4 linked regions of the Notamacropus eugenii genome follow. The protein of the gene in region 3 purifies or fractionates together with the protein of the main gene of each other region. This does not show direct contact. Links are inferred from orthologs where the notes say so. Each region holds a gene or a part of one and is shown on either strand. Other genes may lie near its edges. The genes, in order: SCFD1, RINT1, STX18 and USE1.

Region 1 (7,514 bases), on a different chromosome or scaffold from region 3:
TGTTTGTGATAACCTACAAACCAGAGCACAGGCCAGAGGAGTAAACACTTTGATTATACCACCTTGAAAGAACGGAAAACTTATAGGTCTCTAGAAGTATCTATGAGAACACCTGCATAAAACCCCTGAAGCTTGGGGCAGTGTGCCATCCACACTGGAAGCAAAGCCCTACCTTAACAACAAATTAAAAAGTCAAGAAAAAGGCTGGGAAAAGTAACAAGCAACAGAAAAAATCCAGACTATAGAAACTTACTTTGGTGACAAGGAAGATCAAAACATACGCTCAGAAAAAAAACAAAATCCAAGCTCCTATATCCAAAGCCTCCAAGGAAAATATGAACTAGTTTCAGGCCATGCAATATCTCAAAAAGGCTTTTGAAAATCAACTAAGAGAAGTAAAGGAAAAATTGAGAAGTGATACAAGAAAATCATGAAAAATGAGTCAACAATTTGCTAAAGGAGATCCCCAAAAATACCAAAGAAAGTAACACTTTAAAAAAAAATTGACTAGGCCCAACGGCAAAAGAGGTTCAAACAGCCAATGAGGAGAAGAATGCCTTAAAAAACAGAATTGGCTAAATGGAAAAGGAGGATCAAAAGCTCACTGAAGAATATAATTCCTTAAAAATTAGAATGGAGCAAATGGAAGCTAATGACTCTATGAGAAATCAAGAAATTACAAATCAAAACCAAAAGAATAAAAAAATAGAAGACAATGTGAAATATCTCATTAGAAAAACAACTGGCCTGGAAAAATAGATCCAGGAAAGATAATTTTAAAATTATTGGACTATCTGAAAGCCACGATCAAAAAAGAGCTTAGATATTATCTTTCAAGAAATTATCAAGGAAAACTGCCCTTTTATGCTAGAAACAGAAAGTAAAAGAGAAACTGAAAGCATTCACTGATCACCTCCTGAAAGAGATCCCAAAATGAAAACTCCCAGGAATATTATAGCCCAATTCCAGAGTTCCCAAGTCAAGGAGAAAACACTGCAAGCAGCCAGAAACAATTCAAGTATCATGGAACCACAATCGGAATAACACAAGATTTAGCAGCTTCCACATTAAGGGATCAGAAGGCTTGGAATATGAAATTCCAGAGGTCAAAGTAGCTAAGATTAAAACCAAGAATCATCTACTCAGCAAAACTAAGCATAAGCCATGGGGGAGAAATGGACAATTAACAACAGGAAGTGAATGTTGAAAACTAAAAATAAATTTTTAAAAAGGAAAAAACAAGAGAAAAAAATACATCTTCAAACTTCAGCAAAATCTTTTAACAGGGAACTACGGAAACAGCAAAGAACTGGAAGGGAACTTAGGAAGTCAAATATCTTTATAGACGGGGAAACTGAGGCCCAGAATGAAAGTGTATTTAACCTAAGGTTACACAATAAGTGACTAAGCTAGAATTGAAAGCCAAGTCTCTGGCCTCTGATTCATAATCCAGAAGTTCTTTCTACCACAGCAAGATGTGTTTCCTGCGTGAAGCTCATTAGAGGAGACAACCAAATCTGACTCCAGCTGTGAGCAGGAGATGGTAAAAAGAAGAGGCAATTTTATCAATTACTAGGACGCTCCATCATGGTCCCCTAAAGCCCTCGGCACAATTTTCCTGAGAAAGGGCTTTGCAAAATGCGTTTGGAAGACAGCAAAGTTCAAAGCAAAGTCTCAGGCGCAGTCTGGAGGGGTTACTAAAAATGGCTGGACAGTTCTAGCATTTGGTAATAATGGATATATGTGTATATGTGTGTGTATATAGATATATATGTGTGTGTGTGCATGTATGTATGCATACATATATACACACTCATACATATATATGTGCATATACATATATATCCAGCAGTTGGTAAAATGGACTTTAGAATGCAAAAGTGAGGATAAAATTATAGATCTGAGACTCAGCAGCAGAGACAGGGTGAAACTGAAAAGGGAGAAGCTAAGCTTATCAAGAGAGCAGAGAGAAGGGAGTCCAAAACAAATCCCTGGGGTTACATTTTTCAATCTCATGTCTCCCACATCCTCCATAACGCTACTGTTCTCTGGCTAGACTGTCTACTCACTGTACTTAAAACATAGGATAGGGTTTGCTGAGTGAATAATAAAAACTTCACACATCTGGTAGTATATTAGAAAGAACACTAAATTTGAAGTCTAAGAATCTAGGAATTAATCCTAATTTTGCTACTCCTATTAATGAAACTTTGGCAAGTCTTTTACACCCTGTGATCCAAAGACCAGATTACTCGTTAAAAAGTAGGAGGAAGGACGCACGAAAGGGCAACAGATGCCAGAAACCACCAGCGTCTTCAGTGCACCCGCGGGAGGTCAGGTAAGTTGGTGAACCAAGGCCATCAGCAGGCCCACCTGATCCTGGAAACACGCCCCTGGGTGTAACGCCCACGTAGGTCCACCAGCCGGCCAAACCCCCCGAGGGCGTGGGAGGTGGGAGCCCCCGCCACTGAGCACCTCCGGCAGCGACCCAAGCAGCGGCGGCAGCAGCGTGCCCCCCACGGACAAGCGCCCCTGCCCGACCCCAGGACGCCCGTCCCCCTGAGCGGGCGGATGAATCCGTGCACCGGGGGACCCCTGGGGACTCCTCCCGGCTCCGGGAGGCCCCGCCAGGGCGCAGAGGGGAAGCCGGGTGGCGGCCGCCCGCAGGCTGGGAAGGTGAGCGCCGGGGGCCCGAGTCCGGAGGGGTGAGGCGCGGAGCGGAGCGGGCCCGGGGCAGGAGCCGGGGCTGCCCGAGCCGAGCCGAGCCCGCTCCCGCCGCCCCCGCGGTGGCAGGGCCAGGCCGGCACAGCCCGGCCCAGGGCGGGGGGGAGGAGGAGGAGCAGTGCGGGGGCACGAAGCGAGCGGGTACCTGTCTGCCTCTCTCGGATGCTGGCTGCAGCCGCGGCCGCCATCTTGACTCCCACCATTCACCGCCGGCCCGAAGCCCGGAGCGGCAGGATGACGTGGCTGCCCCAACGCCCCCGGAAGGAAAGGGGGCGGGAAGCGGCGCGGCCGAGGACACGTGGCCCGCCGGCCCCGCCTCCTCTGCGTCATGGGGTCACGTGGCTCCGGGCCCGCGCTGCGCGCGCCGAGATTTTTAAAATCCCCGGATGGGGCCGTGCTGCAGGGTGGGAAGCGGGTCGCTCGGGGAGGGGGGGGCTGTCACGTGTGTGGCAGGTGATCCCACGAGTTAATCGTCGGCCTTTTGGCCTTTTCCCCTTCGGTCGTGGAGACTCCAGACGGTGCTAAAGCAGACCCATCCTTGTGGGAAAGTGGGGGAGGGGAAGGATGCCTCGAGAAAAAGGTGCGTGAATTTATTTAACTATTATTTTACAAATCACCCCAAATCAGTTTTCAGTTTGAATCCTTAGAGTTTATTGCACTTCAAAAAATGGGTACATATGACAGTTCATCTCCCGTAATCAATGGATCAACACTGACGTACTGCTCAATCAGTTCTGAAGCTTCACCAGAGTTGGCAGTGTACATTTTAAATGGCTATTTACACACCTAAAACTTACAATAAAATTATGGCCGCTATTCAAATGTAGCCATCCTTTTTTCCTACCGGCAGCTGTTTTTATTTTCCACACCCACGGTTGAGTGAAATCACAAAACGCTCCTGGTTACCTGTCCTAGAAATGACCCAATACTGAAGAAAAATGACGCTCCAAAATGCTTGCTAGTCCTACTCTAAGTAATCTTTTAAGTGGCCTGAACGTATTCACTGATATTTTAATCTGCCCGCCAGAGATGGAAAACTGAACAGCCCACACAAAGGTCACGCGTGAACGTGTAACACCCTTTGACCATTCTGCGGACCCCCACTGGGAATGTGAGTCTGCTCCTGCCCACCCGCCCCTCTCACTTGGGCTGTGTAACAGAAACATGCGCAAAAGGACACCTTTACAGGCCGTAAAATACAGACAGACAGACAGGCTGAATACTGTACCACGATAAGAAACAGAATTATGAGATTAAAGGTAATAATAAAGCATGCACAGTGCTGTACAGTAAGGTTAACAGGTTCGCCCTTCCCCCATCCACTGAACCCAGCCTTTCCCTTTTTTCAGTGAAGCTATCTAAATGTTGGGACAGTTGCTCTCCTTTCTCCCTTAAATATACATAATGATAGCAAGCAATTTAATCCTCAGCTTGCCTTGGAACTTGTAAAAATCTTGAGGTATTTGGATCTGTCTTTTCAATACAAGAAAAATTCACTCCAGTGATGAAATGCTTGGGAATCTTTTTGGTCTGATCTGGGGTTTCCCAGCTTCCTTTTCTTTTTCCGCAATCTTTGCAGCTAACCACTCAATCAGATCATAACTCAGTCAGCTCCTCCACATCCTTCTCTTCCGCCTCTAGCTCCAGTTCTTGTGCTAAGTTCACAACCTTGTTACTTCTTTGAACATTTCACCTTTGTCAGATCCATGAAAATCAGGAATGAATGTGGGGCACACTTTTTTCCCCAACTCTTTTCATTTATGCTTGCTACCTTCTCCCATGTCTTTTAGAATTCTTTATGTAAAGTCGAATTTGCATAATGCAAATTTGCATAAAACGAGAACTGTCTCATAGTGTTCGTATCTGTCACTATCTATATTCAGATCCTCAATTTTTTTTTAACATTTTTATTTAAACTTCGGAGTTCCACATTCTGTTCCTCTCTCCGCTCCCCCCGCCCTGAGATGGGAAGCAATCAGATCTTGGTTATATCTGCGCAATTATGTAAAATGTTTCCACATTAGTCATTTTGTACAAGAAGCTTCAGTCTGTATTCAATCAATATCCATTCTTTCTCTGGAGATGGATAGTCTGCTTCATCATTGGTCCTTTGGGATTGTCCTAGATCCAGTTAAATCGTTCACAGTTTTTCATTGAACAATATTGGTATCACTGTGTACAACTCTTCTAATTCTGTCCATTTCACTAATGCATCATATTACTTCATGTAAGTTTCCAGGTTTTTCTGAAATCATCCTACTTGTCATCTCTTCTAGCACAATAATATTCCATTACAATCACAGCCTGTTTAGCCATTACCCAATTGATAGGCATCCTTTTGATTTCCAATTCTTAGCCACCATAAAAACAGCTACTATAAATAATTTTGTACAAATAAGTTCTTTTCCCTTTTTTTGGATGTCTTTGGGATACAGACCTAGCAGTGATATTGCCGGATCAAAGAGTATGCACAATTTTATAGCCCTTTGGGCACAGTTCCAAATTGCTCTCCAGAAAGGTTGGATCAGTTCATAAATCCATTAACAGTGCTTTAGTGTTTCAGTTTTTCCACATCCCCAACCAACATCCAACTTCTATTTTTTTTTTTACTTTTTTGATTTTGTTTTATCCTATTTTGATGTCTCATAGAATCATCAGTTTCCACTTGTTCAATCCTGATGTTTTAAGGAATTATTTTCTTCAGTGAGCTTTTTTTACTTCCTTTTCTATTTGGTCAATTCTATTTTTTGGGAGTTATTTTCCTTGGTAAATTTTATCTATCTTTTCCCATGCTACTGACTTTGTCTTCATGATTCTCTTGCATCACAATTATTTCTTTCCCCAATTTTTCTTCTACTTCTGTAATCTGCTTTTTAAAATCCTTTTTAAGCTCTTCTAGGAATTTTTGGGTCGAGACCAAATTACATTTTCCTTTGAGGCTTCACATGTAGCCCTTTTGACGCTATTTACCTCTTCTAAGTTTATGCCTTGATCTTCCCTATCACCATAGTAACTTTCTATAGTTAAATTTTTTTTGGTCATTTTTTTTCCTGCCTTTTTTTTTACGGCTTGGTGTTTTTATGAGAGAGTTGGGCTCTAGTCCTGCCCTATCCCAAGCTTTTGGTGTTGGGGCTTTGGATCTTACTGGGGACTTTCACTGGGCTTGAGTGCTTAGCTGCTTGCTTTCTCTGGAGGGCAGGCTTCCTTTTTGGCTTGTATTGGGGGGGTTAGGGGTGGAGTCTCCCCAATGACCTAGCCTGACTGCTCCAGGGTTGGGGCTTGGCTATTGGCTTGCTATGGAAACAGGCTCTCCACTACTGGCCAGCCCTGGGGCACAGTAGCGCATACATTTAGGACTAAGAGGTAAACAAGCATTACATGGGGGGGGGGGACAGGGAGGGTGTGTGTATATGAAATTTTTGTATCTCTTGAGGATAAGTGAGAAATGAATTAACTTCAGAGTGCTACTTTTCTTATTTGAAGATTTAATTACAATGTTGCCTCATTTATGTGGCATTTCCTATCCATATGTTCAGTTTCATAAAACTTTTATAGAAGTTAGTTTTTTGTACAAAAGGAATCTTTCCATCTTGTCAGAATAGATTCATGAACGAAAAGCCCTAAGGTGTCAAGTTTACACAAAAGAATGCTTCATGTATTTTTCTGGTCACTTCCTATGCAACAGAGACATTATTACAAATGACCCAAATTTGCATATCAAACTGAGCAGACAAAGTTATAATGTACTGAAAGGCTGTCAACAGAACTAGAAGACATTTCTTTCTAAGTTTCTCTTCAGTACTTCAATCTGTACAATTTAGAGTACTTAAGCATAGGAAGTGAAATTAATTTCACTAATGTAGGAGAACTGCTCAGGTGAAGACACTCCCTCTACCAATGTAGGCCTCCAGCACCTCTACAATTTATAATCTTAAAAAGATGCCTGGGGAACTGGCACTGAGAAGTCACACAAACCAGGATGTATCAGATTCATGTCTCCAACCTCAGTCTTCCTGACTTAGAGATCAGCTCTCTATCCATTCCGCCATGCTGCCTAAAGTTAAAAAATAATTCATGTATATAAAACTGTCACTAGCAGAATTAAATTTGAGATTGATTAAAGCAAATTTTAAATTGTATAAATCCTGGACATAAACTACATACATTAAAAGTAAGTTATCAAACAAATGAAAGGAAATATTTTACATTTGATAATACAAGCAGAACACTGCACAATTTATCAGAGAGTAACAATAAAGAAACCATTAAAAATGTGGTCTGTTTACAGAGGGAGTAAATCTTATTCTAATTACTTTCCTTCAGATGAATAAACACTAAAGGCAAAGTCACCTGGCAAATTTATCTTTTTTTATATTGATTTTTGTTAGCATGAAGTCCTATCATTCAATCATCAATGACTCAGTTTTGTTTGAAAAGAAAAATAAATAGCACAGACCCAAAAGGTGTCTCAGGAGACATCCTAGAAAATTAGTGATTAAAAGAAACGTGCTCAAGTGAAAAAAGAACCAAACTTACTCATAGGTACAATTTTGAAATATATAAATATGAGCATATGAAAAGTAAAATCACTAACTGATTTCTGTTTAGACATAATTGAAAGTAAAAGACTTACAATATCATATTACCTAAAGGCTTTAACATGAGTGAATCCAAGAGAAGTGAATCCACGAGAAGTAAAGATTTGCTGAAGGAGGTTCCAGAAACCATAAAATTTTAAGACACAACTTCATTTGAAAAACATGTCAATATAAATAAGTCTAACTTTCAAA
Region 2 (7,121 bases), on a different chromosome or scaffold from region 3:
CCAGAATAAGGTCAGGGAATTTGGGGTTCGAGAGAAAGCCCTGTAACAACTAAACAACTAGGGATTCTCTGTGTCACGCAGAACCAGTAACATCATTCACTCTAGACTGTAGCTTGTTTATATTTAAATGTGATAAAATAAGAGGAAAATCAGTAAAAAGGTATTGCTATACACAGAGGGGAGGGGAGGATAGGAGAGGGCAGGGGAGGGAAGGGAAAAAGAGGAAGTTTTTCCTATATTTAGAATGGTACCGTAAGATTTACTACAGATTCCCATATTATGGAAATATAAGAGATTAGGAATGCTAATCTTGCATCCATTTTGACAGCGACATAGGTAAAAATATATTTTAAACAACAATATATTACAAAAAGTATGCACTGTTCAGGGAAAAAAAGAATATGGACACAGAATTTATTTTTCACCAATGTAGTAGAAAGAAAATTTCTTAATCTTTGCCAAAAAGACAATAATACAACTAAGTGTAAAAGCATTTTAAAGTAATTATAATAAAAGCTCCATAAAATGTTACCAACATTACCAACATCATTTTTCCAATTACATAATGTCATTCAAGTAGGAAATTTGTCTTTTATTTATTTTGCAGAATACTTAATAGGTGGTGGATCCTTTATAAATTTAAGAGCTATACAACTATTACCTAACTCTCCTGATCCCAAAGTCAAAATGCCATGAATATTTTTCCTGTTTTTACCAACAGCTATTCATTCTACATAAATGTGCAAGGAACTCATCAAATGTACAATTCAATTTTAATTTTTAATACTTACCTGTTCTTCTAATTGTACTTTATTGTTTGTCAACTGTTCTATGAGTTTTCCAAGTTTCTTTAAAGATTGAAGATCATTTCCAACTTCCTTTTCCACAAATTCAGACACGTAGGAGGGGATATCACAGGTATCTACATCTTGGTTGGTCTGTTCTTTTCTGACAGGAGCTGCCATTCTTAGATCTCCTAATTTTTTTTTAAATTGTAAAGCAAAAAATTTACTGAATAACAACAACTGTATGCTACAGAACATACACGTGACGGCACACTAGAATCACTCAGACGATCCACAAGCATTTATTAAACTGACACTTTGGTGTAAGATGTGCGCTCTAAATCCTTTAACTTCCATGTGCTTCAGGTAACTCTCTAAGACTTAGCTACTAAGTTACAGGCTGGTAACAAAGATTTATCATATACAAAACACCATATGGGAAAAGGGTCATCATCCGACGGGGTAAATAATGTGGGAGATCATTGATATTTCTTGCCTTTCCTACACCTCAAGCTTTAACTACTGCCACAGCCTTCTGACTGGTCTCCTGCCCAGTCTCTCTGCACTCCTGCCCACCCCTGATCTTTCCTAAGTGTATGACAACTTCTACCCTTCCCTCAATCAGCTCCAGCAGCTCTCCAGGACATCCAGATGAAACAGAAAACCATCAGTTAAACTTGGCTCCCTCCTACCCTTCTCCCTACGTTCCCCCACCAGGACACGCCGCCTTTCTGGCTCTTTCCCACACCCAACACTCCATCCGAAGCTCCTAGCATTGTCACCGGCTTCATCCTTCTCCCAGCCTCCCAGCTTCCCTGGCCTTCCTTCAAGTCTCCATTAAAGTGCCACCTTTCTCAAGTCTCCTTACTCTTGGTGTCCCCGCCCCCTTAGGAATTATTTATTAATCTGCGGATGTATTTCCAGTTCACCCTGTCGCGTTTGTCTTTATTACTCAGTTTTTTTACTTCTCTTGTTTCTACAAGCTGCTGGCACGCCGCGTCCCTCCCCGCCCCGCCCAGACTGGCACACGGTGGGCGCCCACCAGTCTGCATTAGGGTGGTACAGGCACAACGTCCAGATCGACCCTGATCACAGAGAAAGCTTTGGAGACTTTCAGCTATTAACAAGTTGTAAAAGTTCAGAATTCACGGACCCCCCCAGAAATGCACCCCCAAGTCCTCCCTGACTTTGCAGGCTGGAAAAGCTGCAGTGGAGGGAGGTCAGGTAACTTGGCCTGGGACGGGTAGGTAATAAGCGTCAGAGCTCGGACTCGAACCCAGGACACCGCACCGCAGCCCTCCCGGGCGTAAGCCGCCTGGGAGGCTCTCGCGGGCTTTACTTAGGGGAGGTCCTTCGCCCCCGGCCCGCGTGGTCTCCCCTGACCTCGGCTCAGCGCCGGCCGCCGTCTGCTCTCCGTCTTCTCGGCTCCATGCGCAGCCCGCCTGCCCGGGGCAGCCTGTGAGAGGCGCCGAGGGAGCCCCTCCAGGACCGGACTCGCAGACGCCGAGACGGGCGTTTCACCCGGAGGATGCCGCGGTGGCCGCCCACGCCACTTCCTCTCCCGAACTCGCTGACTCCTTCCCCTCGTTCCCAGAGGAACACACTCTTCGTTTTCCCCGGCCGCGGATAACTAGCCTGTGGCGCCACCGCCTGCCTGGAGGTCGCGCTGCAGTTCTTACGGGGAGGCCAGACAAAAACTGGTCCTGATGCTAGTCTAAGAACTTCCTAGGAACCTGGGTCATGGTCGTAGTGATAGTACTGGTAGTAGTTGGTTGGTTGTTGTCCTTTATGCTTGAAGAAGACCAAAATGACATCACTATGTTGGGGTCAAGGTACGGGGTGTACTGTGGCTGAGCTTGGGAGACTACCATAAGTCCAGCACAAATGAAGATTTGGAGTAGAGATGCCTCTAAAAAGTAGCGGCAGCAGCAGTAGTAGCAGCAGTAAACATCAAGAATTACCAATAATGACATCGCATTATATGTAACATTTACATTTACTAATCATAAGCTTGCATGTTGTATGGAGGCAAACAGAAGTGACATGGTGGATACAGGGCACTGGACATAGAGTCAGGCTGACCTGAATTTGAACCTTGCTGGACAAATGGTGCTGTGTCTCTCATTCTCAGTTTCCTCATCTGTAAAATGGCACCTACCTCACAGGGTTGTGGTGAGGATCCAGTGAGATAACATATGGAAAGTACTTTGACTTTGCAAATCTTAAGGCACTATATAAAATGTTAGCTATTGTTATTACTAATGGATCACAAATCTTGCAGATGATGGTTGAGAACAGTTGTAGTAGCAAGGAATACTGCTTTATGCACCTAAAATCCTCTGTATTTTATTTTGAAGATTTAAACAATAAAATCCATAAGTGCAGTCACACCATTATAGTTTTGTGAAGTTGAAATACTGTGAAATTGTTTGTTTTTTTTAAAGAAAAAAAATGCCAATAGTACCACCTTCCAAATTTTGCATGATGGCAAATATATGCAACCAAATCTCCCCACCCTAATGGCATGGCATTTGGGATAACTGGTCCATTGTTTTTCTATGCCTTTTAACTTTGCTCAAAGGAGACAAGTGTCCTGGCCTTTATTAAGGGTTGTGGGTACCCAAAATGTGGGCTGTTAGTCACTAAGGAAAGTGGATAATCCAACACAAACTCCTATCACTTCTGAGCGATTCACTAATATCACAGATTTAGAGCTGGTAGGAGTCCAAACTCATTCTACAGACAAGGTAACTGAGACCCAGAGAGGTTAAGAGACTTGCCCAGGGTCACATAGTCATAACTGACAAAGTCAGAATTTGAACACAGGTCCTCTGACTCTTAAATTCATTGATCTTTCCACTGAACCAGAGTTCCCCAGATGACTCTGTGCCTCCATTTCCTTATTTATCCAATGAAGAGGCTGAATTTCAAGGTCCAATTTTAATGATCCCTGACTCCATGACTCTACCTCCACCTCCTTCACTCCTTGATTATGACAACTGAAGAGGTATTCCTGGCCCTTCCAACCCTTCTCTGAAGGAAAGTATTGTGTCTGAAAGTATTATATAATATAAAGTATTATATCTGAGACTTTGAGGATCCTAAGGCAAATACAATTTCCCAAATTTTCTGCTTTCTAATTTTGTCAAGAGTGATTCTCTTAGACACTCTTCAGCAAAGAAGATGAGCTCAAGATTAACTCAAAATTAATAGAAATTTCAAGATTAACTAGGAATAGAGGTTAGGAAGAGGAAGAGGAAGGTTAGGAACTAGGAAGAGTTCAGTTCCTGTGCAATGATACAAACATCATCTGAGATTATTAGAATTTGGAACCCCAGTTAAAGGCAAGAAAAAGGTGGAGTTTTTTCAAATGAACTTTTTTAGTTAGGATCTAACTTTTAACTGCTTTGTTAAAAAAAAAAAAGTGAACACAAGATGGGATAAACAAACAAGAGTTTATTCAGGTGCTGGGATTTATTTCCTAAAATGTGTATTTAAAATTTGTATTTAATTTCCTCCTTCCCCCAGTCATCTTCATCTATATCCTGTATTCAGACCTCAGTCACTGACACTTAACAACTATACTTTTGGTAGTATAATACTTAAAAAAAATAAAGTGAAGAGGAATGAAAACAAACTTTTTTCTTCTCCATTTAAGGTTGTAATTTGGTAACATTTGGATTTTAATAAATGAGCTTAGTGACAGACTGAATCTGTTGCATTAGAGGACTATTTTATCAGATTTAGAGAGAGTCACCAGGGGAAGATTGACCATAGACTCATGAAATGACTAAGGTCTAGAAGGGGTCGAAATCATCATGGGTGGCATTACCCATGGGGACGATATCAGAGGAGCCTCAAAGAATGCATTTTAATACTATCCAGGAAAATTTAAAACATGAACAGAAAATTGGTTTCCTGGTTCACATGTAGGTCATTATGCAGTCTGAACCTATATTCCTCTCCTCTCCTTTTCCATCTCTTCCTCACTCCTCCAAAACAGAATTTTCATCTTCTAATCACTGGTCTCACCTGCTCTTCCACTCCATCACCCTTGCACTGGTCTTATTTTTCTCCTTTCATGATCTTGACTATTGGGAAGAAATATATGTGAACCTCTCTTAAAACAAACAGTTGGTATAATGATTGTTGTACTAGGGAAAGATGTGCTTTTCAGGTAAATTAATACTGGAATTTGGAGTTACTACTGAACTGCCACCCTGACTATATTTTTTCTAATTAATTCATTAATTTTTAGTTTTCAACATCCACTTCCATAAAATTTTGAGTTCCAAATCTCTCCCCATCTCTCCCCTCCCCCACCCCAAGACAGCCTGCAATTTGATATAAGTGCTCCGTATACATTCATATTAAACCAATTTTCACATTAGTCATGTTGTAAAGAAGAATTAGAACCAATGGGAGAAACCATGAGAAACAAGAAAGAAACAAAAAAAGAAAAAAGAGAGAGCAAATAATGTGTTTTGATCTACATTCAGACTCCATAGTTCTTTTTTTGGATGTGGACACCATTTTCCATCATGAGTCTTTTGGAGTTGTCTTAGATCCTTGCATGCTAAGAAAAGTCTATCTGTCAGTCATCAAACAATGTGGCTGTTACTGTGTACAATGTTCTCCTGGTTCTGCTGACTTCACTCAGCATCAGTTCATACAAGTCTTTCCAGGTTTTTCTGAAATCTGCCTGCTCCTCATTTCTTTTTTTTTTTTTTTCTTCTTTTTTTCTTTTTTCTTTTTTTTTTTTTTATTTAGCTTTTAACATTCATTTTCACAAAATTTTGGGTTTCAAATTTTTCCCCTTTTCTCCCCTCCCCCCCCAAACGCCAAGCATTCTAATTGCCCCTATGACCAATCTGCTCTCTCTTCTATCATCCCTCTCTGCCCTTGTCTCTGTCTTCTCTTTTGTCCTGTAGGGCCAGATAGCTTTCTATTCCCCTTTACCTGTATTTCTTATTTCCTAGTGGTAAGAACATTACAGCTGATCCTAACACTTTGAGTTCCAACTTCTTTAGCTCCCTCCCTCTCCACCCCTTCCCTTTGGAAGGCAAGCAATTCAATATAGGCCAAATCTGTGTAGTTTTGCAAATGACTTCCATAATAGTTGTGTTGTATAGGACTAACTATATTTCCCTCCATCCTATCCTGTCCCCCATTACTTCTATTCTCTTTTGATCCTATCCCTCCCCATGAGTGTTGACCTCAAATTGCACTCTCCTCCCCATGCCCTCCCTTCTATCATCCCCCCCCACTCTGCTTATCCCCTTATCCTCCACTTTTCTGTATTGTAAGATAGGTTTTCATACCAAGATGAGTAGGCATTTTATTCTTTCCTTTAGTGGAATGTGATGAGAGTAGACTTCATGTTTTTCTCTCACCTCCCCTCTTTATCCCTCCACTAATGAGTCTTTTGCTTGCCTCTTTTATGAGAGATAATTTGCCCCATTCAATTCTCCCTTTCTCCTCCCAATATCTTTCTCTCTCACTGCTTGATTTCATTTTTTTTTAAGATATGATCCCATCCTCTTCAATTCACTCTGTGCACTCTGTCTCTATGTGTGTGTGCGTGTGTGCATGTGTGTGTGTGTAATCCCACCCAGTACCCAGATACTGAAATGTTTCAAGAGTTACAAATATTGTCTTTCCATGTAGGAATGTAAACAGTTCAACTTTAGTAAGTCCCTTATGACTTCTCTTTGCTGTTCACCTTTTCATGGTTCTCTTCATTCTTGTGTTTGGAAGTCAAATTTTCTTTTCAGCTCTGGTCTTTTCATCAAGAATGCTTGAAAATCCTCTATTTCATTGAAAGACCAATTTTTCCCCTGAAGTATTATACTCAGTTTTGCTGGGTAGGTGATTCTTGGTTTTAGTCCTAGTTCCTTTGACTTCTGGAATATCCTATTCCATGCCCTTCGATCCCTTAATGTAGAAGCTGCTAGATCTTGTGTTATCCTGATTGTATTTCCACAATACTTGAATTGTTTCTTTCTAGCTGCTTGCAATATTTTCTCTTTCACCTGGGAGTTCTGGAATTTGGCCACAATGTTCCTAGGAGTTTCTCTTTTTGGATCTCTTTCAGGCGGTGTTCTGTGGATTCCTTGAATATTTATTTTGCCCTCTGGTTCTAGAATCTCAGGGCAGTTTTCATTGATAATTTCATGAAAGATGATGTCTAGGCTCTTTTTCTGATCATGGCTTTCAGGTAGGCCCACAATTTTTAAATTGTCTCTCCTGGCTCTATTTTCCAGGTCAGTTGTTTTTCCAATGAGATATTTCACATTATCTTCCATTTTTTCATTCTTTTGGTTTTGTTTTGTGATT
Region 3 (6,975 bases):
TCTAGGGGGAATTTCCACTCTGTATCAGGCAGTTAGCTTCTGCCATGTTGATGATTTTTTATAAGATGACTTGTGAAACTCCTGGGGCAGATTATTAGGAAAAAGTTGAACAAAAATTCCAAGGGAATGAAGGATGAGGGGAAAGCGAACTTGAACTTTCTACATTATTCCTTCCAGTACCATAAATGGATGCCTGTTGAATGGATTAACAGTTTCCCCAGAGTTTTGACTTATCCTGGTTAACTCAGGTTAAAACTATTATTTACATGATTTTATTTATTAGTGAAATGAACTCTCACACTTAACTTAAAAGGAAGATCTAGAAATTGGCAGGGTAACAGAAATGATCATGGAAAAGAACAGGTGTGCCAAACTGGACATATTTCTCATCTACCTGAATAAGCATTTTTTGGATGTGTGGGAAGAAACATGTGCTGTAGCTCAGTGCTGAAAACATAGGTGATAAGAGTTCATAGTCTGCTCCCTGTGACTGCAGGCTGTGACAAAAAGACGTGATAGCTGAGGCAGGAAAGGGTGAGAAGGCAGTGCATCCAACTCCTGTGAAGCAAGGAGGACCCGAGATCGTATCTGAGCTCTTAGAGTTATGAGTTGTGTGAACCTGGGCAAGTCATTTAACTGCTGTTTCGCTCAGTTTCCTCATATGTAAAATGGGGGTAATAATAACACCTCCCTTCCAGGGTTATTGTGAGGATCACATGAGGCAATAATTGTAAAGCACTTAGCACAGTGTCTGACATCTAGTATGTGCTATCTATATATTATTATTATTCCTAGCCAATTATCATTTAATAGTTAGTATTTTATAAAATGCTTTAAGATCAGCCTCGAAATCATGGTTCCTGACCTCAGCAAATGTGGGACATCCTGTTTCTGTGAAGATGGGAAGATTTCTTCAAAGGTCTGGGAAAAATATTTAAGGCAGCCCTTTCTCCATGATCTTTGAGCCTGGGCAGTTGTGCTATATATCCTTCAACAAATCACTCATAGAAACATGTGTTTTGTGTATTGTGCTCTACTTTCACTTTAAAGTGGCAATTACCATGTAACCATTTTTTTCCTTTCTTTGTTTAGCATATTTGCTGCTAATGTTGGTGAATAGACATTGAATGTTGATCACTTCTCCAACATCTGAAATCATTCCTCAAGAAGATCTCCCAGGTATTGATTTTGTACCTGATATGAAATCCCTACCTGCCAATATTCAGCTAAGACAAGGAGACTAAGGGACAATACGGATTTCCTATGGAGTCAGGCAAAAGGGATCCAAGATGAAGAACAGATTGATCTTTGGGGAATGAACAATTAAGAGAAAGGGAAATCAGTCAAGACTGGTACTTTCACAAAATCCTCACCATCTCTAATTATTAATGACTTTCTCCCTTGAAATCCACATTGCACTTTGCAAATCTCCAATGCACTCATCAGATAGTGTATGGAATTATAATTATATGTGCTTGTGCCTTAAAGGCAATAAACATATCTATTCTATAGGAAGGACATGCTTACTATGTGCCAGGCAGGTACTGTGCTAAGAGCTTTTCAAATATTATCTCATGCTCTTCACACCAATGGAGGGAGTTTAATGTTATTATCCTCATTTTACAGAGGAGGAAATTGAGGCAGACATTGATTGAAAGACTTGCTCAGGGTCACATAACTAGTTAGCTATAGCAGTTACTTATATATTTTCCTTTTCTCTCTCTCTTTCCAATTTGAATGCTTTGAGGAAATTTGCATACCTCTGGATATGCCTAATATTATGGGGATAATAAGAGTTGGAGATGGAGAGGAGGAAGCTTGAAGAAGGTGGAGTGAGAAAAGAGAAGTTTTTTTGTCTTCATTTTAGGCTAGGGAGTTGGCATGGAACATTTGGAAGACTGGAGATACTCACTCTGGTTTGAGAAACAGGTTGGGTGACGGCAGAGGCAAATGGTGCAGTGGTTAAAGTACCTGACGTAGAGTCAGGAAGACTCTTCTTGAGTTCAACTCTGGCCTCAGACTTGCCAACTGTGTGACCCTGGGCAAGTCACTTACCATTGTTTGCCTCAGGTTCCTCATCTGTAAAATGAGATAGAGAAGGAAATAGCAAACCTCTCCAGTATCTCTGTGAAGGAAACTCCAAATAGGGTCTCAGAGAGTCAGTCACAACAGAACCACAGAGGCATAAATGCATAGTTGCCGTTGTTTTTCACGTTTTTCCTATTTCTAAGCAGTTAAGTTCTTGACATGTACACTCATTCCTCTATTAGATTTGCTTTAGAAAGTCACGAAACACACCACCCCTGGATGTTTCAGCGATACCTCACTCTTGAGCCAAACCTCAAACTAGAAAAAAGTCACCAATTTTCTGAATTCCTAAGCAAAGTGAACCCAAGTTCCTAAAAACAAAATAAAATAAACTTTGCACAGCACAGGTACTCAGTTAAGTTATTGTTGAATGAGCATCTAATTAACATACCAAAGTCTTGCTTTTTTTTACATTTCTTTATTTCTTTTCAGAATAACACTAAGTGAATTGGTCAGAATTCAACAATGCATCTACTAATGTTCCAAATTCCGTGGAACCAGACCTCCCCAGATGAACTTCAGTGATTCATTGTAGTGTAGAAGAGACTCTGGAGCCTCAAAGGCTATTTCCGGGGGACTGCAAATTCCTGTAACTTCTGTGAAGCAGACAACGCAGCTAGGTGGGGCCGTGGAAAGATGCTGACCTGGAGTCAGGAAGACTTGAGATCCCGTTCTGTTTCAGTCATTTAGGAGATCCTGGGCAAGACATTTAACCTCTCAGCCTGTTTCCTCATCCGTCAAATGGACATAATAGCACCTGCCTTACAGTATTGTTGTGGGTGCTTCGCAAGCCTTAGAGTGCTCTATAAACGCTGGTTATTATAAGTTAGTAGTTTCCTGGAGGGTCAATCTAGCTAAATATGGAAGCCTGGCTATTAGTTGATGGATTCTTAGGTCACTGAAACTGCATAAAAAAAATTAAATGGCCCTCAGCCTTTTTTTGTTTTTGTTTTTTTGCAATGACAGGGGATGGGATGGGAGTGGAGAAAAAGGCACCAAAAGGGGCAGATGCTCAGAACCACATTTAGGATTTTGGTTATTGTTATACATTCCACCACGTCACTATTTCTCAGGTCCTCACGATGAGTCGGGGAGCCACAAATCGTAACTTGATCAGAAAAAGAAAGCTTAAACTAGGCGTGAAGGCGACTCCAGCTCACCCCTTCAGAATGTAAGGTTCTTGAAGGCAGGACCCTTGGCAGGTGGCTGATCACGGACGTGAATAAACCATCTCCTGCAGGACTTCAGGCAGCTTCCACAACCTCTGTGGATTTAGAACACAGGTCTGGACCAGCGGACCAGTCAGCCTGGGCCTCAGTTTCCCCATCTGTAAAATAAAAAGGGGGGGTTGGGCCAGATCAGGGCTCTTAACCTGGGGTTCAAAAACCCGTAAAATTTCAGAGGGATATACGACCAGCAATGGGGGGGAAGGTGACGTTTTTATTTTCACTAAAGTCTCCCTGAAATTTAGCATTTGCTTTAATTATTTAAAAACGTGAAGGGGGTGGGTCCAAGCATTTATTAAGCGCCTTCCATGCCTGCCCTCAGGCGGCTTCCCGTTTAATCTGGCGCCCGGGGCCCTGAGCCTAGTCCGACCCCCTGGACCCGAACCTCGCCTGGTCACGCACCCTCTCCGGGCCTCAGTTTGCCGGCCTCTACGCCCCGCGGCTCCCTCCCACCCCCTCTACACTCCCGGGATTCCCAGGCCAGCGGATGCCCGGAGCGCAGACACCCGTGAGATGGTGGGGGGGGTGGGGGGAGAGGAGGGGCGTGGCGTGGCGTGGCGTGCGCGCTCCCGAGAAAAGGGGCGGGGAGAGCGCCTCCCGGGAGCGCGCAGGTAGCCCGCTACTTCCGGCGGCTGGGACGGGCGCGGAACCTCGGTTGCCTGACAGCGGTTGCCGGGGGGAGGGTCGGAGGGACGGAGCCCCCTCTGTCTCCGTAGTGGGCGGGGCCGGGCGGACACGGTGGCTGCGAAGTCGGGGCGCCATGGCGGTGGACATCACCCTGCTGTTCCGGGCCAGCGTGAAGACCGTGAAGACCCGGAACAAGGCCCTGGGGGTAGCCGTCGGAGGCGGCGGCGGCTCGGACGGCGCCCGGGAGGAGCTGTTTCGCCGGAGCCCCCGCCCCAAAGGGGACTTTTCCAGCCGGGCCCGGGAAGTGGTGAGTGAGTTGCCAGGGCAACGGAGGAGGGGGAGGGGGCCCGGCCGTGGAAGGTAGCCGCGTGGAGTAGCGGGGCTCCTGGGCTTCCCTCTGGTCTCCTCCCGCTGTCAGTCGGTGAAACCTCGCGAGACTCAGTGTACCCCGTCTGTGGAAGGACGCGGCGGCACCCGGTGGTCCCCGAGGTCCCTCCCGAAGGCTGGCACTTAGCTTTTTACGTGTTCGTGGATGGCTTGAGACCTTTGTGGGCCTCAGGTGTCTGGTCTGTAAGAGGAGGGTGGCACCGTATTGGCACAGCCATAAGGTGCCGTAGAAATGTTAGTTGTTAGTAACCGCAACTCCTCAGCCTTTATATCCTGCTTCAAGATTTGCAAAGCATTTTACGTGTGTTTCCTTTTATCTCACAACCACCCTGGGAGGTGGGTGCTGTACGTTATCCCCATTTCACAGATGGGGAAAGTGAGGCACAGAGAGGCCAAGTGGCTTCCTCACAGTGTCACCTAGATACTGCAGGGAATGATCCCCAAACCCCTTCCGGTCCTGACATCATATGAATCAGCGTAAGGTGGTGGGAGATGAGTGGGGTCCCTGCCCCAGGCAGACATAGGATGGGCCTCTTCAAGTGTACCAGTGATTGTCCTGTGAAAGAGATTAGACTTGGCCTAGAGGTCAGAACTTAGGTGGATGAGTACAGGTTGATGAGGGACAGGCTTTGGATATAGTTCTTTAAAATATTGTCTCTGACACATGCCATCCCAGTGACCTTGGTAAGTAACTTTGCTTACGTGGGCTTCAGTTTCTTTAATGAGAAGCCTTGGCTGGATGGCTTCTGAGGACCCCCTCCTCCCCCCAGCACTAGTGGAATTTATAGTACTGTGATCCTAATGAAAGGTGAAATGGGCTTCCTCTTCACTGGAGGTCTTAAAACCGAGGCTTAGATGCTTACATTTGTGGATATTGGAAGGCTCATTCTCTCTGGAACAGGTTGAATCAGATAAATGTCCTCCAGTTTTTTTTATTGTGCATCCTTACTAAAATGTTTTTAAACAGGTATCTCCAATATGTATGTATTTACTTGTTTGTAAATTTATAAATGCCTGTTAGCTAGGTTTTATGAAGTGCCTACTATATACTAGGCACTGTTCTGAGCATTGGGGGTTCAAACACCCCCTGCTCTTGATTAACTCACACTCTAGTAGGAGTGAAAATATACAAACTATGTACAGATGAGATTTATCCAGGATGAATTAAGGGTAGTCTCAAAGGAAAGGATCTAAGATTAAGGAGGACTGGTAAAGGCTTTTCCTAAAGGTGGGACTTTAGCTTGAGGCTTGAAGTCTCAGGGAAGGTAATAGGCACAGATGAGGAAGAACATTTCTAGGTATGAGGGTCAATCAGTGAAAATATTAGGAGTTGAGAGATGGGATGTCACATGGAAGAAATATCAAGGAAGCCAATTTCATTGCATCACAGAGTACATGGAGTTTTTTATATTTAATTCTAGGGGTAACAGGGAACCATTGGAATTTATTGATTGGGGTGACATGGGCAGACCTGTGCTTTAGGAAGATCACTTTGACAGCTGAGGATGGAATGGAGTGGGGAGAAAATTGTGGCAGGGAGATCAAGCAACAGGCTGTTTGTAATAGTCTAGGCGATAAAGGCCTACACCAGGGTGTGGCAGTGTCAGAGAAGGGAATGTATGTGAGAGATGTTACAAAGATAAAAATTAAAGGCTTTTGTCCAGATTGCAGAGACAAAATGAGCGCACCTAGCATACGAAGGGAAATGATATACACACTCCCTCTGTATGTGTATGTGTATGTATGTATATAGTTTTGTTTATATATCTTGGATACCAAATCCTTATCAGAGAAATTTGATACAAAGCTTTTTTCTTGCTTACTTCCCTTTGTATCGCAAGTGCATTAACTTTTCTGTGTAAAAGATTTCTGTTGTGTTTGACATTTAAAGTCCATCATAACCTAGTCCTACCTTTCTAATCTTCTTAAATTTTACTCCCCAACACATACTCTTTAACCCAGTGACATGGCCTCTGCCTGTTCCATGAATGAGACACTCCATCTCTCAGCTCCAGGCATTCTCTCTGGCATTCCCTTGTACCTGGAACACTCCCTTCCACTGTTCAGACTGCTGACCTCCCTGACTTCCTTTAAGTCCTAAATAAAATTCTACTTTCTAGAGGAAGTCTTTTCTAAATCCTCTTAATTCTATACCTTTTCACTATGAATTATTTTCTATTTATCATGTACATAGCTTGTTATATATTTGTTTTCGTGTTGTTTCCCTCATCAGATTTTAAGCTCCTTGAGGACAGGGATTGTCTCTTGCTTCTTTTTGTATCCCTGTGCTTAGCATAGTGCCTGGTGCATAGCAGATGCTTAATAAATGTTGATTGATTGATTGATTGACATGTAAATCAAAGGAAGCTTGTAGTTTTACTTCACAGATTTGAAAAGATGACCAAAATATGGCAGTACTCAATGTTAGAGGGGTTGTGGAATAATAGGAACACTAATACATTGTTGGTGGAGCTGTGAGATGGTACAGCCATTTTGGAAAGTAGTTTGGAATTATGCGACTAAAGGGACTAAAATGTCTACATACTCTTTGGAACAGAGACCCCACTACTGAACTTATATCCCAATGAACCTAATAATAAGAAACAAGTCCCCACATACACCAAAATATTTATAGCAGCACTTTTTG
Region 4 (6,920 bases), on a different chromosome or scaffold from region 3:
AAAGAGGAGGTTGGAGTAGGTGATATTGGAGCTCCCCCCTGGTTCTTTGATTCTGTGATCCTAATCCCTAATCTCTTCCCATCATTAGTACTGTCTGCTTAACATGACATTGTATATACTTTCTAGCAACAGCCTTGGTATGAAGGGCCCACTTTGGAGCCAAGAAGATTCAGATTCAAGAGGCAGCTAGGTGACATAGTGGACAGAGTGCTAGGCCTGGAGTTGGGAAGATCTGACCTCAGACACTAGCTCTGGGACCCTGGCAAGTCACTTAAACTCTGCCTCCATTTCTTTGACTATAAAATAAGGAAAATAATAGCATGTACCTCACAAGGGTTATGTGAGAATCATATTTGTAAAGCACTTAATACTGTCTGGCGCATAGTAGGTGCTTACTAAATGCTTCCTTCCTTCACGGGCGGCCCTGTTAAGCTAGAGGCCAGATGCTGATCTCCATGGAGAGAATTGGGTCTCTGATGGAATCAAACATGAGCCACAGTGGTAAAACTCTTCATCCTGACTTAGCTATTTTTGTTATATTCTCTCCACTCACCCCTCCTCCAAAGAACACTAAGTAGAGCTAGTTTTTATATAGTGCTTTACGAAAGTTTACAAAGGACTTTACAAATACCTAATGTCATCCTCACAGTAATCCTGCGGGGAGGTGCTATTTTCATTCTCATTTTGCAGATGAAAAAACCAAGATAGATAAAGGTTAAATGACTTATCCACCGTCCCACTGCAAATAAGTGTTTAAAGGAGTATTTGGACTCAAGTCTTTCTGCCTCCGGGTCCAGCACTCTATCCATCGTGCCCGCTAATGTAATGCCTAGAGGTTAGGGATTGTTTCATGTCTGTACCCAGTATCGGTACCATGCACACTGTGGGTGTTCCATCTATTTACTGGATTGAAAGGGAAGCCCACAGGTAGTCAGCATTAAAGAAAGGCAAGCTGTCCCCACCCTCAAGGAGTTCACATTCTAATGGCAAGAGGTATGAACAACATATGTACAGAGTGTGTGTGTGTTCATCCTTCGTTGCCAAAGAAGACCATGCCATTAAAGGAATGATGACGTGACTTGCACTTGACTTTGTTTTGAGTGAGGGAGGGCTGTACTGGTCACCAGCCTCACTTCTCCAGAACCATCTGAATCCAGTGACCAGATATTCATCAGGATGACTGGAGATGACCCAGGATGAGGCAATTGGGGTTAAGTGACTTGCCCAAGGTCACACAACTAGTGAGTGTCAAGTGTCTGAGGTGAGATTTGAACTCAGATCCTCCCGACTTCTGCACTGGTGCTGTATCTACTGCACCACCTAGCTGCCCCCTATGTGCAAAGTAGATGAAAGGTGAAGACCCCTGTAACCCTGGGCAAGTCACTTAACCCTGTTTGCCTCAGTTTCCCTTGCCCAGGGTTGGCACTAGCAGCCAGGGGGACTGGGAAAGGCCTCCTATAGAAGGTAGAATTCAAATCAACTCTTGAAAGAAGTCAGGGAAACAAATAAAGATGGAGGCCAAGAGGGAGAGTGTTCCAGGCTTGAAGAACAGTCAGGGCAAAAGCCAAGAGAAAGGAAATGGAATGCTGTGTTGGAAAAACTACAAGAAGGCCAGGGTAGCTGGACCTAAGAGTGTGTGAACAGGAGGAAAGGGTAGGAAGATTGGAAAGTTTGGAAGGGGCCACATTATCAATCAATTCACATTAATAATTTGTGGCATGTGCTAAGCACTAGGGATACAAAAAGAGGCAAAAGACAGCTCCTGCCTTCAAGGAGTTTACAATCTAATGGGGAAGACAACATCCAAGCTCTAGTCAGGATAAATAGGAAATGATTAACAGAGGGAAAGCACTAGAATGAAGAGGAATTGAGAGAGGCTTTCTGTAAAAGATGGGATTTGAGTTGGGACTTCAAGGAAGCCAGGGAGATCAGCTGTAGCCTGACCAGAGGAGAGAGAGTATTGCAGGCATGGAAGACAGCCAGACAGAATGCCTAGAGCTGACAGATGAGTGCCTTGTTCTAGTAACAGCCAAGAGGACGATGTCTCTGGATCAAAGAGTACCTGTTAGGGAGGAAGGTGTAAGATAACTAGAGAGGTGGGATGGGGTTAGGTTTTGAAGGGCTTTGAATGTCAAACAGAGCACTCTGTATTTGCTCTTGGAGGTAACAGGGAATGTCTGGAGTTGAGTAGAGGAATGATATGGTCAGACATGTGCTTTAGGAAAATCACTTTGGTGGCTGAATAGAGGATGGATTGGAGTAGGGAAAGACTTGAGGCAGGCAGACCCATCAGCAGCTGCTGCAAAAGTTCAGGCATGAGGTGATAACCTGCACCAGGGTTGTAGCAGTGTCAGAGGAGAGAATGGGGAATAGTTGAGAGAGGTGGCAGAAGGGAAATCAACAGCCCTTGGTATGGGAGGGTGAGAGATAGTGAAGAGTTGAGCTTAACTCCTAGGTTGCAAGCCTGAAGGACTGGGAAGATGATGGTGTCCTCTAACTGGTCTTAAATGCCTAACAAAGGAATTTATATTTGATTCTGGAGTTAACAGTGAGCCCCTAGAGCTCTGGGGGGGAGGGGACGGGACTGGTCAGACATAACCTTTAGAAAAGTCCACCGTAGCCGCTCAGGAATGAAGCAAGGAGATCAACCCCAAGCCTGCTCGATTAATCCGGGGAAGCGGTGTCTGTGTGAATGGAGAGAAAGGCACACCATAGGCGAGGTGGGAAGGTAGACTATTGGATATTGGAGGTGAGGAAGTGTGAAATGTCAAGAATGATACCAATCTTGAAATAATAGTGTCTTCTAGGGAAGATCAGAAGAGTCAAGCATTTGGGGGTTAAGAAATGTGTTCAGTTGTGGACATGTGGAGTTTGAAATAACTATGGGATAACCAGTTCAAGATGTCCAAAAGACAGTCGGGATTTGACACTAGAAGTAGGAGGGGAGGGGGGGAAGGAACATGCCAGAAACTGTTCTAAGTGCTCTACAAATGTTGGCTCATTGGATCTTAATCACCCTGGGAGGTAAGTGCTATTAGTTTCTTACATTTTACAGTTGAGGAAACTGAGGCTGGTAGAGGAGTTGCCCAGGAACAATCAAGAAGCATTTAAGTGCCTACTGTGTGCCAGGCACTGTAGAATAATACAAAGACAGGCTACAAAGATAGTCCCTGCCCTCTAGCTCACAACGTCATGGACCACAGAGCTTGTCAATGTTCTCAGGAGGATTAGAGCTGAAGTCTCCCAATTCCAAGCCCAGCGCTCTCTATACTACACCCCCTGGTCGTTCCTTTTAGAACTAGAGCTCGAGAGAGGTCAGGGCTGGATGGACAAAGGTCTTGTTCAGTTGTGTCCAACTCTCTGGGAGCCCTTTTTGGGGTTTTCTTGGCAGCGCTCCTGGAGTGATTTGCCATTTCTTCAGACGGGGAAACTGAGGCAAAGAGGGTTGTGACTTGCCCAGGGTCCCAGAGCTTGTGTCTTTGGGTGGATTTGAACCCAGGGCCCTCTGACTCCAGTCTCAACACTGTACCCATTGCGACCCCGTAGTTAGCATGCGTGAAATGGACGAAGGCTTGGCAAAGAAAGCTGACGTTTATTCAGGAATCCTACGAAGTAGAGTGTGATGGGGAACATGAGAAAGCCACTGGAAGACTTCAGGTAACATGGCGACAGGAACTCCTACCAGTAGGTGAGATGGTGCCAGACTCCACCTACGGTGGTAACGTTGCCCAGCGCCATCATCTACCTCCTGTACTAAGATGGCGCGGCTAGTGCGGTTAACCGGAAGCTCGGAATGCCCTTCCGCCCGTACTAAGATGGCGCGGGCGGAGCGGTTAACCGGAAGCTCGGAATGCCCTTCCGCCCGCACTAAGTATGGTCGTAAAACCGCTTCTTCCGCCCGTAGCTCTTAGACCGACAGTCATTTTCCGCCTAGAGTCAAGACGCCTTCGGCTGGAGCGGGCATGGCGGCGGAAGCACCTCCTCCCGCCCTTAGTTAATATGGCGGCGGGCGCGCCTTCTTCCGCCCGTGCTTGGTTGAGCCGTGGCGGAGTTGGCGACAGCGCAGGGACGGTGATGGCGGTGCCGCGGCTGGAGCTGAACCTGGTGCGGCTGCTGTGCCGCTGCGAGGCGCTGGCGGCGGAGAAGCGCGACCCGAGCGAGTGGCGCCTGGAGAAGGTGGGAGGCGCCGCGGGGGACCCCAGGCTAGAAGGGGCAGAGGTGTGCCCACCGCCGCCCCGCCCCCACCGAGGCACGGTCCCGCCCTCCTGGCCCCTGATTGGCTCTACCCCGCTCCGGTCCTGCCCCCCCCCCCCCCCCCGGAAGTGGCATATTAATTAGAGAGGAGAGGGATGGATGGAGGGAGGGAAGGCATTTTAGGCCTAGGGTCTAAATCAATGAATGTAAAGTGAGAACAATCTGTCTGGTCCGTCCTTCCCCACTTCCCGTTTTTTCGGACAAGAAATCTGATATCCTGCCAAGTTTAATGCCCTGCCCAAGGTTACACAGCCTGGTAGAGCTAGAATTGGGGGTCGCATTCCCATTTTTCCTCTTCTTATCCTGTCCTGGTTTTGACGTCCATTCCTCACACGGAGCTCTCCCTCTCCCTTCTCCCCTCACCTGGTGCTGATTCTATTCCAGCTGAGATTTACAAGGTGGGGGAACCATTGCTCATACAAAAGCTGACTGAAATTTTCCAGGTTATATGGCAAGAGGAGGTTATCCCCCAGGAGTTCAAGGATGCCTCCATTGTCCATCTCTATAAAGGTAAAGGAAATACATTGTCCTGCGACAATCACAGGGCGTCTCTCTCTTAGTCATTGCTGGCAGAATTCTTGCTAGAGTCCTCCTCAATAGGCTAATCCTTCACCTGGAAGATGGTCATATACCTGAGAGTCAACATGGCTTCAGAAAGGGCCGTGAAACAGTCGATATGACGTTTGCTGCCTGACAACTCCAGAAAAAATGCCAGGAGCAAAACAGAGGTCTGTACACAATGGTTGTAGCTCTGACCAAGGCCTTTGACACTGTTAGTTGTGAGGGCTTAAGGAAAATTATGTCAAAAGTTGGTTGCCCCGAGTTCATCACTATTGTATGTCAATTTCATGATGGCATGTTTGCTCGGGTTCTGGATAGTGGACAATGCTCTCGTGTCTTCCCAGTCACCAATGGAATGAAAAAGGGTTGTGTGCTTGCTCTCATACTTTTTAGCATGATGTTTTCAGCCATGTTGACGAATGCTTTCAATGATGATGAACATGGTATCAAGGTCCACTACTGTACTGATGGTAAGTTCTTCAGTTTGAAAAAGCTACAAGCCAAGACCAAAGTGGAGGGAGTGTTGGTGCGTGATTTTCTGTTTGCAGATGATTGTGCAATCAATGCAGCCTCTGAAGCTGAGATGCAACAAAGTATGGATCAATTCTCTGCTGCCTATGCTAATTTTGACCTGATAATTAACACAAAAAAACCCACAGGTGCTCCATCAACCACCACTATACCATCCATATGTGGAACCATTGGTTACAACAAATGGAGAAGTTTTGAATACTGTGGATAAGTTCATTTACCTTGGTACTGTACTTTCCAGAGATGTACACGTTGACAATGAGGTTGATGCATGCATCGACACAGCTAGCTCAGTGTTTGGGAGGCTCCAATGAAAGGTTTGGGAGAGAAGAGGTATTAGACTGACTACCAAACTGAAGGTCTACAGATCCATTGTTATATGCTTGTGAAACATGGAGAGTCTACGAGCACCATGTCAGGAAACTGAATCACTTCCATTTGAACTGTCTTAGGAAGATTCTGAGGATCACCTGGCAGGACAAGGTACTAGACACTGAAGTCCTTGCTCGAGCTGAACTGCCAAGTATTCAAACTATGCTTCAGAGAGTGCAGCTCCAATCGGTTGGTCATGTTGTTCAAATGCAAAATGTATGCTTGCCAAAAAGACTATTTTATGGAGAACTTGCATGGGGCAGGCGATCACATGGTGGCCAGAAGAAACGATACAAGGACACTCTCAAAGTTTCTCTCAAGAACTTTGGATTTGACTGTGCAACATGGGAGACACTGGCACAGGACTGCTCAGCATGGCATGCACACATAAGAAAAGGTGCTGTGCTCTTCGAGCAAAGCAGAATTGAGACAGCACAAAGTAAACGCAGGATGCACAAATTTGGAATATCCACCCCAAATATTCACATGGACTATCTGTGCCCAACCTGTGGTAGAGCATTCCAAGCTCGTATTGGTCTGATCAGCCATAGTCGGATGCCAGGCCTAGAGGCCTGAGGGCTACCCGAGTCTTACCTTACCTATCGCAGGTCTTCGGCTGGCCAAACCGGATAAACGTATGAGAGAAGAGACTTTCCAGAGTCGAACAAGGGTTAGGCTTTATTCAGGGTCTTGGTTACATGTGCAGGGGGAACTCTTCCTTAGGAGAGAGAGAAATCTCCCAAGGAGGCAAAGATCTTACAGTAAGAGAATGAAAGCAGAAGTGGAAGTGGGGAGAGAGGGGAGAGGGAAGAGCGAAGAGAGGAAAGAAGGAAGAGGGGCCTTCTGTCCTGTAAGGGCCCCTCAGTGCTAAGCGTGCCTTCGGGCTTTCCTGACCCTACTTAAGCTCTCCTGCCGCATCGTTTGCACCTCAATACCGTGCCTGTTAGATAACAATAGGTGTGCCCAGATCTGGGCCAATCTCGAGGGCGGGGATGCTCTCTCCTATCACGTTTCCCACGGGAAGAGGTGGAAATGCACGCGATATCCCGGTCTCACACCTCAATTCCCTGCTGTTCCCTGGGGGGCCTCATGAGAACTCTAAGGTTTAGAAGTTCTCACCTTTACCTGCCCGAGACTGTCCACATGGAACTGAGCTTACACCCCCAACAGTCGGACACACTGAAATTTCACTTTACGATAGT

What was found.
Region 1: the proteins of STX18 (region 3) and SCFD1 purify together in Homo sapiens (affinity purification with mass spectrometry; 5 studies listed by BioGRID and IntAct, counting the BioPlex papers as one, with this or other methods). This does not show direct contact. The link is inferred for Notamacropus eugenii from reciprocal best matches to the Homo sapiens genes STX18 and SCFD1.
Region 2: the proteins of STX18 (region 3) and RINT1 purify together in Homo sapiens (co-immunoprecipitation; 6 studies listed by BioGRID and IntAct, counting the BioPlex papers as one, with this or other methods). This does not show direct contact. The link is inferred for Notamacropus eugenii from reciprocal best matches to the Homo sapiens genes STX18 and RINT1.
Region 4: the proteins of STX18 (region 3) and USE1 purify together in Homo sapiens (co-immunoprecipitation; 4 studies listed by BioGRID and IntAct, counting the BioPlex papers as one, with this or other methods). This does not show direct contact. The link is inferred for Notamacropus eugenii from reciprocal best matches to the Homo sapiens genes STX18 and USE1.

Annotation. Positions count from the first base shown.
Region 1 is NC_092878.1:47,285,682-47,293,195, reverse strand, and holds the start of SCFD1 (sec1 family domain-containing protein 1), read right to left. Parts: upstream 3,006-7,514; 5' UTR 2,928-3,005; coding exon 2,870-2,927; intron 1-2,869. UniProt on the Homo sapiens protein: Plays a role in SNARE-pin assembly and Golgi-to-ER retrograde transport via its interaction with COG4. Involved in vesicular transport between the endoplasmic reticulum and the Golgi.
Region 2 is NC_092874.1:150,325,940-150,333,060, forward strand, and holds the start of RINT1 (RAD50-interacting protein 1), read right to left. Parts: upstream 3,012-7,121; 5' UTR 2,169-3,011; intron 977-2,168; 5' UTR 966-976; coding exon 792-965; intron 1-791. UniProt on the Homo sapiens protein: Involved in regulation of membrane traffic between the Golgi and the endoplasmic reticulum (ER); the function is proposed to depend on its association in the NRZ complex which is believed to play a role in SNARE assembly at the ER.
Region 3 is NC_092877.1:61,756,616-61,763,590, forward strand, and holds the start of STX18 (syntaxin-18), read left to right. Parts: upstream 1-3,962; 5' UTR 3,963-4,074; coding exon 4,075-4,248; intron 4,249-6,975. UniProt on the Homo sapiens protein: Syntaxin that may be involved in targeting and fusion of Golgi-derived retrograde transport vesicles with the ER.
Region 4 is NC_092875.1:60,616,166-60,623,085, forward strand, and holds the start of USE1 (vesicle transport protein USE1), read left to right. Parts: upstream 1-3,901; 5' UTR 3,902-3,999; coding exon 4,000-4,176; intron 4,177-6,920.